Arabidopsis thaliana: one gene and its partners. The protein of the gene in region 1 interacts with the protein of each later gene in a pairwise test. Each region holds a gene or a part of one and is shown on either strand. Other genes may lie near its edges.

The links.
Region 2: the proteins of APL (region 1) and AT5G66770 interact in binary tests that used the Arabidopsis thaliana proteins (3 or more experiments, as listed by UniProt).
Region 3: the proteins of APL (region 1) and HAM3 interact in binary tests that used the Arabidopsis thaliana proteins (3 or more experiments, as listed by UniProt).

The regions. Positions count from the first base shown.
Region 1 is NC_003070.9:29,877,208-29,880,967, reverse strand, and holds APL (Homeodomain-like superfamily protein), read left to right. Parts: upstream 1-1,688; 5' UTR 1,689-1,832; coding exon 1,833-2,007; exon of another isoform or gene 2,008-2,097; coding exon 2,098-2,174; intron 2,175-2,310; coding exon 2,311-2,377; intron 2,378-2,506; coding exon 2,507-2,573; intron 2,574-2,659; coding exon 2,660-2,702; intron 2,703-2,799; coding exon 2,800-3,447; 3' UTR 3,448-3,740; downstream 3,741-3,760. UniProt on the Arabidopsis thaliana protein: Transcription factor required for phloem identity. Has a dual role both in promoting phloem differentiation and in repressing xylem differentiation during vascular development. Regulates the expression of the transcription factor NAC045 (AC A4VCM0).
Region 2 is NC_003076.8:26,658,486-26,662,245, forward strand, and holds the start of AT5G66770 (GRAS family transcription factor), read left to right. Parts: upstream 1-1,825; 5' UTR 1,826-2,237; coding exon 2,238-3,760. UniProt on the Arabidopsis thaliana protein: Probable transcription factor involved in plant development.
Region 3 is NC_003075.7:57,847-61,606, reverse strand, and holds the start of HAM3 (GRAS family transcription factor), read left to right. Parts: upstream 1-2,111; 5' UTR 2,112-2,501; coding exon 2,502-3,760. UniProt on the Arabidopsis thaliana protein: Probable transcription factor involved in plant development.

The DNA of each region.
Region 1 (3,760 bases):
AAGAGGTCCCCAACGTTAACTCTATCTTTACACATTGATGCATAATTCTCCACATATTAATAGTCCGTGTTTATAATATGTATAACTTTAAAAAATTGTTCCATATTCTTATGTTAATTTTTTTGTTTTAATTCAATATTCATTGACTGGTATTGGTCTACATTTTAACATGTACATGCTTTCCCTTAATTAATACTTAATATATAACCTCTAATAAATTTCTGATTCAATTCAAATTTTATTCTTAGATAATATTCTCTCTTTTTTGTGTGTGCATATCAGCCTCAGCCATATTCATTGACTTATTCTTGTTCTATGTAAATATGCTATGGGACCTCCCACTCATATATATTTAGGTTGACCATTTATTTTACATGCATGCAATTGAATTTAGGGGTTAATCTAAATCGTTGCGTATATGAATTATATATGATTTTAGTTTGTATATTGAAAAATGCATCGTCGTTCTATACATAAGCTAGTTTAGTAGCTAATAGGGCAATATTAACAAAGTTGATTTTCTGGTTTGTAGTGTCCATACAAGTAATTTAGTTAATTATCTCGTTTGTTCACCTTTTTGTTTCTTTTTTCTTTTGCTAGCTAGTTAATTGCGGATGTAAACTACATCTTTTACTAATCGATGAATGGAAAACGTTTTTGTCGTAGACAAATATTCCACCGTACCTAACGGTTTTGGATTGCATGTATATAATAAATTTGTTCCAAAAATATACGGTCTATTAATTTATAACGAAGCTCATCATTGCTTAGAATTGTATATTCACCTCATAATTAGCCAAAAAGGTTTACCCTACCATAAATGATAAAATCCCTAGCCTTGTGGAATTTGTTTCGTTAAGATATTTGTATGTATGCCTCCAATTACGATATATGACGATGTAGACAAACTATAAGTCTAGTATACGACTCTCCTCGTGCGGTCTTAATTGAATAGAATACATAGAACTTTAATATATTCACTTTAAAAGTTTATATTTTCCTATAAAGAAAATATTTACAAATCTTTGATTACTATTTACTCCAAATCAAGCATGATTAAGAAAATAGTATATAGAACAATTGTATGATAAATTTGGATTTAAAAATTACTTCTAAATTATAAGGTAGTAAAGAAAAAGAAACCAAAAATATAAGAATAATAGATGTGCAATATCTTTGATTCAGGTGAATTATATTTTAACTTAGATATCTCAAGTCATTTTAATGTTTATATCAGGAAATAAAGAAATAAAAACCATCATGCAACAAATCATGCATATATATTAGATACATCCGTAACCGCTTTTTTTCGTCTTTTTTTTTTGTTTTTTTCGTCGTCACATCCATAACCGTTTTGATATGAGATCTCCGATGTTCAAAATTCAATTTCCCCCAAAGATATCAATTTAATATCTAATATATACTATTATTTTAAGTTTGCGCAGTAATTTAATAATCTGAGACAGACATGATTTACTTAATGTATACGTATAGTGGCTTTTACACACATTTTATATTGAAAGAAATTCAAAGGTATTCAAGCTAAGAGGATAAAAAACACAAATGAAAAAGATAGCGACAGTATCTTTTCACAAAGGAACGTCTGTGTACTAGTCTGAAACTTTAGTTCTCTTCCTTACTAACGATAAAACATATTTAACTAAACCATAATTTATTTACAAACAAAACAAAAAAGACGAGAGAGAGAAAAAAAAGCCGTCATCTGATCTCTTCAAAAACGCATCGTATTCTCTCACATTTTTGCATCACATTCGTTTCTTGAATCCCCTCTTTCAGAGAGAGAAAGAGAGTCAGAGAGAGAGAGAGAGAGAATGTTCCATGCTAAGAAACCTTCAAGTATGAATGGTTCATATGAGAACAGAGCTATGTGCGTTCAAGGCGATTCAGGCCTTGTCCTCACCACCGACCCTAAACCGCGTTTGCGTTGGACCGTCGAACTCCACGAGCGTTTTGTGGACGCCGTCGCTCAGCTCGGCGGCCCCGACAGTATGAACACACATACACAAATATATATTCAATCCATTTAACCAATTATAAATGTGTTTTTTCAAAGTTTTTGATCATTTCTATTTGCAGAAGCGACCCCAAAGACGATTATGAGAGTTATGGGTGTGAAGGGTCTTACTCTTTACCACCTAAAGAGCCATCTTCAGGTATGTACACAAATATAGATTAGGGTTTTTTTCTTCCTTGCTTTTAATTTTCTCTCCTCTTTATCTTTTCTATTCTTTTTTTCACTTAATAATATAATATAATAATCTAACAACTTATTTGGATCTATGGGTGCAGAAATTCAGGCTTGGAAAGCAGCCGCACAAGGAGTACGGAGATCACTCCACAAAGGAAGGTTCAAGAGGTGACCACTCTTCCTTTCTCTATCAAATTAGGGTTTTTATAAAAAAGTTACCCATAATATAGATATGTATTAATGTATATATATGTTCTTTGATCCGTCTTCTTCTAATTTTTTTTACCGTACGTGTAGCTTCTGCCATGGATATTCAGCGCAACGTAGCTTCTTCTTCTGGCATGATGAGTCGCAACATGAATGAGTAATATTTTAATCAGATTTCGTTAATTTTCTCAACTTTCATTTTAATATATATTACAGCAACTCACACCAGGTTGGTTTGATCAGGATGCAAATGGAAGTGCAGAGAAGGTTGCATGAACAGCTAGAGGTAATTAATTAACCTATAGATATTCTATGATAACTGCTTGTACAAAATCAATTTGTATCCCATAAATATAGTAAATGATTTCATTCAATTTTTATAGGTGCAAAGACATCTGCAACTGAGGATTGAAGCACAAGGAAAGTACATGCAATCTATCTTGGAGAGAGCTTGCCAAACCCTAGCCGGTGAGAACATGGCAGCCGCCACCGCAGCAGCCGCCGTCGGAGGAGGATACAAGGGTAATCTGGGAAGTTCGAGTCTTTCAGCAGCGGTGGGCCCACCTCCTCATCCTCTTAGTTTCCCGCCGTTTCAAGACCTAAACATCTATGGAAACACAACCGACCAAGTCCTCGACCATCACAACTTCCATCATCAAAACATAGAGAACCATTTCACGGGTAACAATGCTGCAGACACCAACATTTACTTGGGGAAGAAGCGACCTAATCCTAATTTTGGTAACGATGTAAGGAAAGGACTATTGATGTGGTCTGATCAAGATCACGATCTTTCCGCAAACCAATCGATCGATGATGAGCATAGAATTCAGATACAGATGGCTACACATGTCTCCACGGATTTGGATTCTTTGTCGGAGATCTACGAAAGGAAATCAGGTTTATCAGGTGATGAAGGGAATAATGGTGGGAAATTACTGGAAAGGCCATCGCCTAGGAGATCACCATTGAGTCCTATGATGAACCCTAATGGTGGATTAATACAAGGAAGAAACTCGCCATTTGGGTGATACAATTTATTAATTTTTATCTATGAGTGATGCATGGGAATGTAAGAACGAGATATATATGTTTTGTCATTGTGAGTTTGACGTAGGGTTTAGAGATGAGACAAAACAAAACAAAACAAAAAAAAATAAAAAATATATAAGCTTTGTTATGTTTACCGGATTAGTTTTGCTCGTGTTTTATAATCTGTACGGAAACTATATATTATTGCTGTTCTTATAATATTTTAGGATCTATATATTTTGTACTTATTCGTTACTTATTTCTTCTAGTCAACTGTTTGATGATTGATCTTTACATTGTTAGTCTCAGTAG
Region 2 (3,760 bases), on another chromosome or scaffold:
AAACTAATTCTTGTTGTTATTTACTTTTTACACAATGAATTTAACCAAATTGTAGAGAAATTACCTTATCTACTGCTTTTATGTTAATATAGTTCATAAGAAATCTGAAAAACACTATGCACCTAGTGCTGTATATTCAGAGACTGTTGTATGTTTTATGTAAAAACTGAAAGAGAGATGTGTAAGAAGTGGGTCACCAAAGTGAAGTGAGTGACATTTTGACGTGGAGACAAAGGTGCAGTGCAACACAAAAGAGAGGTTAGTCGAAAAGCCAGAGAGATTAAAACGTTGTTTTTTGCATATTTTTCTTTCCCACTCACTTTTTTTTATATAAAAAAACACATTTGCAAATTATCATTTATAAAAAGAAAATACTTTAACTATATCCTTCTTTATTTTCTGTTCAACCAAAATACTTTAAATATCCAACACAAACTCACATTTTAATTTTTGGTGATCGTTGCACTTAGTATGGTTGTTGCACACATTAGAAAAACTAAATTCTATAGGATTCAATTGTTCTAAAATTCTAATTATATATGTGAAAAGATGAAAAGCTGTCAGATTATATTTCCCTTACTGTATGTGTTACTATTAAAAACACTCCAGATTATTTTTTTTAAAAGCTTTGGAAATACTGTTTTATTTTTTTCATTTTTGGGTAATTTTTAAAAGCTAATTTTAAGATTGGTTGCTTCAATTGTGCAAGATCGATCCAATAACAGTTAAAAAGGCCCCACCAGCGATTCCTTTTCCGTGTCATATTTTAGAACTTACATGTATATTGGGCTGATCCATGGGCCCATCTGTCACCCTCATACAAACTATATATAAATTATAACACACACACAGTCTCATATATATATAACAAGTTGTCAATGAATAAATTGACAATACAATTTGAGATTATGTCTTACTTTAATTAATTATTTTATGGTGCGTCTATATTGTATCATGATGTTAATGTTTGGATATATATACAAACAAGTAATTTTCACATCAATTGCACTCTTCTTTTAATTTGTTTGGTAACCATGAAAATAAGACCATCTATTTATTTATCTATGAATGAATAATTAAGGAGGTAGGTGAGTCACTGAGAGTCAAGAGCAGTTTGTGATGGGAAAGAAGATACACATTACAGAGATCAACGGCAGAGATGAGGAACCCTACAGTATGATGACGTCATCGTTGACAGTGGTGGACCCCACCTCTCGGGTCCCTCGAAAAGAGCGGGATGAGAGATTTGTTTTCATTCATACACTTCTCAGTCTTCTGAATCTTCATCACTCTTAAACTTTAGGTTAATTTCATTTTTTGTAAACATATTTTACATCTATCTTAACCCAGATTTATATACGGTACGAATTTATTGAAAATATGGTATAGTTTGGAGGCATGAAAGAAGTAATATCAATATTGACAAGGAAAAGAGCGAGTTTATTTGTCTAGTGATGAAGAAGGACCCATAGCTTCGTCATATCCTCTCCTCCCACTGAGCGTTTCACTCACCAAAAAAGCTCTCTTTAATTTATTTTATCTTCTATTCCTTTATTTAGCAAACATTTTTTTAGTATTTGATTATAAAATCTGTTTAATTTTTGTTTTGGCGCGAGAGTGTGCGTCACGTGAACAAATTTACATTGTTATATCCCAAACGGAGACATTAATATGAACAACCTCGGCCATTATATGTCATATCGTCTTTAAAAAATGTTACACAACATTGTGAACTCAAATTCAGAAACTTGTTAGCGGATGAATCGATAATGACGAGTTCACAATGTAAAACTATGATAACATTCTCTTACACACAAAAACTAATGTGGGAGTAACTTGTACATATCTCTCTATTTCTTTCTTAGGAGACTAACAATTTGGAATTAGATCCAATGATTTCTATAATGTATGCATAAATATGTTATTGGTTAAGAGATGTGGTGTGTTTATATCGGTATTATTACCGTTACAAATATCATTGTCTTAAAAATAACAAAGAAAAATGTGTGGACCCACAATGAAATCAGACGGTCAGATTTTAATCAAACGTTGATCCACTTTCTAGGGCTGACCTTTCTTTCTTCTCCTCTCTTTACCTCTCTCTCTCTTCTAAAATCCAAAGCTTGAGATCCCGCCGTTTCTCTCTGGTCATCATCCTCTTCTTCAGTGACCGCAAATCTGCATGTTTGGCAGTGGTTTTTATAGACCGCCGGGAGGGTTAGATCTAGGCGTTAAGAATGGCTTACATGTGCACTGATAGTGGCAATCTAATGGCTATTGCTCAACAAGTCATCAAACAGAAGCAGCAACAAGAACAACAACAGCAGCAACATCATCAAGACCATCAGATTTTTGGTATTAATCCTTTGTCTCTTAACCCATGGCCCAATACTTCCCTCGGGTTTGGGCTTTCAGGTTCGGCTTTTCCCGACCCGTTTCAAGTTACCGGCGGCGGAGATTCCAACGATCCTGGCTTTCCTTTTCCTAACTTAGACCACCACCACGCCACAACCACCGGCGGTGGGTTCAGGTTATCTGATTTCGGCGGTGGAACCGGCGGCGGCGAGTTTGAGTCCGACGAGTGGATGGAGACTCTTATCAGCGGTGGAGACTCCGTTGCAGACGGTCCTGATTGTGACACCTGGCATGATAATCCCGATTACGTAATCTACGGTCCTGATCCATTCGATACTTACCCGAGTCGACTCAGTGTCCAACCGTCAGATCTAAACCGAGTCATTGACACGTCGAGTCCGCTTCCTCCGCCGACCTTGTGGCCTCCTTCTTCGCCATTATCGATTCCTCCGCTTACTCATGAGTCACCAACCAAAGAAGATCCAGAGACTAACGACTCCGAAGACGATGACTTCGACCTAGAACCACCTCTCCTCAAAGCTATATACGACTGTGCACGGATCTCAGACTCTGACCCTAACGAAGCTTCCAAGACGCTTCTTCAGATCCGAGAATCTGTATCGGAGCTAGGTGATCCGACGGAGCGAGTTGCATTTTACTTCACGGAAGCTCTCTCCAACAGACTGTCTCCTAATTCGCCGGCGACGTCGTCTTCTTCTTCATCTACGGAGGATTTAATCTTATCTTATAAAACCCTAAACGACGCTTGTCCTTACTCCAAATTCGCACATTTGACGGCGAATCAAGCGATTCTAGAAGCGACGGAGAAGTCGAACAAGATTCACATCGTCGATTTTGGAATCGTTCAAGGTATACAATGGCCTGCTCTTCTTCAAGCTCTAGCTACTCGTACTTCTGGTAAACCCACTCAAATCCGGGTCTCGGGTATACCCGCTCCATCTCTCGGTGAATCTCCGGAACCGTCGTTAATCGCCACCGGAAACCGCCTCCGTGATTTCGCCAAGGTTCTGGATCTGAATTTCGATTTCATCCCAATTCTCACTCCCATACATTTACTTAACGGGTCAAGTTTCCGGGTCGACCCGGATGAAGTACTGGCCGTGAATTTCATGCTCCAGCTCTACAAATTACTCGACGAGACGCCGACGATAGTTGACACCGCACTACGGCTCGCCAAATCGTTGAACCCGAGGGTCGTCACTCTCGGAGAATACGAAGTGAGCTTAAACCGGGTCGGTTTCGCTAACCGGGTAAAGAACGCGCTTCAATTCTATTCCGCGGTTTTCGAATCCCTTGAACCGAACTTGGGGCGTGATTCGGAGGAGAGAGTGAGAGTTGAGCGAGAGTTGTTCGGCCGGAGAATCTCGGGTTTGATTGGACCGGA
Region 3 (3,760 bases), on another chromosome or scaffold:
CGACGAGGCCCATCGAAGGCGTGAACAAAGCAAAGATGCGTTGCATCACCCATGGAGGGACTTTCTCCGTTAGAAATGCTCTAAGAGACTTCTGTATTTTGGAGTGTCATTCGATCATAGTAATTTTTTTTTTTTTTTTTGTTGTTGTTGTCGAATCATAGTAATGTGTTGTCAATGATCAAATGAGAGTTAGATTATGTTTAAGGAAATGTATATGATTAAAGAAATAAGGAAATTCCTTTACCAACTTTATATTGTGGTAATTGTTAATTACTTCCCGCCGATCTTGGTTTTTTTTTTTTAATCATAATTATTATTACTTTGGCTCTAATGAGATGAAGAAATCTTCTCTATTTTTCTTTATCCTTATCAGTCCCATGTGATCTCCTAATAATAATTGATCAATTTTTGTCTAATCTAACTAATCATCATCCTAAAATCTAATACAAAATGAACGACGCAATCATTTATATATGGTTACATGCATACAAACTCTAACACGTTATCCTTCAATATAAATTATTGTTTGACAAGATTAATATATTTAGCTGACTTGTTTCTTCCTCTAATTATGGCAAAGCACGATTCTGTTCATCATACGAACTATCCGATTGAGTGGGGTTGGGTGTGTTGCTTGTGATGAAGGGTGCCTTGAGACGAGAGAAAAGAACATGTTTTCACCACGTAACTTACTTCACCCTCACGAAGTTAACACACACATATATTTAGTATTCCAATATACCAAATATTATATTAATATATCATGAAACTTGAAAATGTGTTGGTGTATTATGTATGTCAATAAGAAATAATATTAATACAGTTTCGCGATCATTTCAAGATTTATAATAATTTTGTATAAGAAAGAAAAGTGTGAGAAGTAGTTGTTAGCAAATCACATGGGAACATATAAACTAATTAAATCTTAAAAATGAACATTTTAACTTTTTGTTGTTATATAAAGTAAGTTAACTATCAATAATCATCAAATATTTATGGTACTTAACAAGTATTATAATATGGGACTAAAAATTACTATACAAGAAACTGAACTCTGTGTTTTTTTGTGCGGTCATAATTCGCATATAAAAGATAGATTCAGAATCTGATATTGTTTATACTTTTTTTTTTTTCTTTGATATTGTTTATACTAATGAATTGGTTTGCATAGAAAAGTAAATGCTTTTTCATTATCATGAATACATGATAATGAAACTGTCGCCATTCATTGCAAAATTGGTCCGATTTTAATCTGTCTTCATCAATTACCCACCTCTCTTTCTTGTTGTTTTTTCTGATTGCTTTATTCATTTATTTATTATAGGGTTTTCCATTGGTAGATATATTTATATATGTATATATATGGTGATTGGTGACTTCCATTGTCTGCTCAATAAAGGACTACCACTCGTTCTTTCTCAATCTCTCGTGCATTTAACTTGTCACAGAAGAAACATCATTCACAGATCTTCAATCACTTTTTTCCTTCAAACGAAAAGATGTACCAAAGAAAGTATGTTTTTATATACACGTAAATATATATATAACTCCTTCTTTGTTATAAGTAGTACATGAATGTTTCAGATAATGACGATCATTCGTATCTCGTTAAGTTAAAACAAGAAAAACAAAACAGATATTTTTGATGTAACTCCAATATATACATAGTTTTTGTTTCCACTTTGTTTAGATTTATAAATTTAGATTATGTCCGTAGCAAAAAAAAAAAAAAAAAGGAAACACAAATTAATATAAGCACTGCAATATGTGGTTTAGCTCGTACAATGGATTGGGTGATTTGAGTGGTTAATTTGATAAAGATGATCCAAAAGCTTGTCCAAACCCTAAAACAAACTATTGGGGACAAAGATCACACAAAAGGAAATAACGACAGCACCTTTGAGATAAAACAAAACAAAACAATATCCCAAATATAGTTTGCAAGCCACAAAGTTTTAATCATGAAAATAAATTATAAGAAAACAAAAACATTCCCAATATATTATGACATCCTTTTTTTTTTTTGGGCAAGTATTATGACATCTAAATATACAGTACAACATCAAAAATATGGGGAAAATGTTTTTTTTTTTTAATAGTTTCTAGTAATTCAAGAAGACAAATACAATATTTAAAAATATATCATAACATTTAGTATTTTTGTTTACCATCATGTTCATGTCACTGAAAGGAGTTTGCAAGCCACGCGCGTGATGTAAGAGTGGGGTTGTAATAGAAGACATAGTTAAGATTAGAAAGCAAAGATTAACAAAATGTTGTGTAAGAGAAGCTGATGAATTGTTTAATCAGCTAAGTTAATGACAAAGGCAAAATGATAGGAAACGGAAATAAGAGAGAAAAAGAAAGGAGGAAGCCCACTTTGCCACTTTAATATCTTGCACGCATCCAATATACCTCACCACACCACATCACAACAACGAAGAAGAAGAAGAAGAAGAAGAGCTTCAAGAAGACAAATACACTATTTTTTATCGTCTGCAATGCCCTTACCCTTTGAAGAGTTTCAAGGGAAGGGGATTTCTTGTTTCTCTTCTTTCTCGTCTTCCTTCCCCCAACCACCGTCGTCTCCGCTTTTGAGCCACCGCAAAGCAAGAGGCGGCGAAGAAGAAGAGGAAGAAGTTCCCGCGGCGGAGCCTACCTCTGTTCTGGACTCCCTCATAAGCCCAACCTCTTCCTCCACGGTGTCTTCCTCTCACGGCGGAAACAGCGCCGTCGGAGGCGGCGGCGACGCCACCACCGATGAGCAATGCGGAGCCATTGGGTTGGGTGATTGGGAGGAGCAAGTTCCTCATGACCACGAACAGAGCATTCTCGGACTCATCATGGGAGATTCCACAGATCCCTCTCTTGAACTCAACAGCATTCTCCAAACATCTCCCACCTTCCACGACTCTGACTACTCATCACCCGGTTTCGGAGTCGTCGACACCGGCTTCGGTTTAGACCACCACTCTGTTCCGCCGTCACATGTTTCCGGTCTTCTGATCAACCAAAGTCAAACCCACTACACACAGAATCCTGCGGCTATCTTCTACGGCCACCACCACCATACACCTCCGCCGGCAAAGCGGCTCAACCCTGGTCCCGTGGGGATAACAGAGCAGCTGGTTAAGGCAGCAGAGGTCATAGAGAGCGACACGTGTCTAGCTCAGGGGATATTGGCGCGGCTCAATCAACAGCTCTCTTCTCCCGTCGGGAAGCCATTAGAAAGAGCAGCTTTTTACTTCAAAGAAGCTCTCAATAATCTCCTTCACAACGTCTCCCAAACCCTAAACCCTTATTCCCTCATCTTCAAGATCGCTGCTTACAAATCCTTCTCAGAGATCTCTCCCGTTCTTCAGTTCGCCAACTTTACCTCCAACCAAGCCCTCTTAGAGTCCTTCCATGGCTTCCACCGTCTCCACATCATCGACTTCGATATCGGCTACGGTGGCCAATGGGCTTCCCTCATGCAAGAGCTTGTTCTCCGCGACAACGCCGCTCCTCTCTCCCTCAAGATCACCGTTTTCGCTTCTCCGGCGAACCACGACCAGCTCGAACTTGGCTTCACTCAAGACAACCTCAAGCACTTCGCCTCTGAGATCAACATCTCCCTTGACATCCAAGTTTTGAGCTTAGACCTCCTCGGCTCCATCTCGTGGCCTAACTCGTCGGAGAAAGAAGCTGTCGCCGTTAACATCTCCGCCGCGTCCTTCTCGCACCTCCCTTTGGTCCTCCGTTTCGTGAAGCATCTATCTCC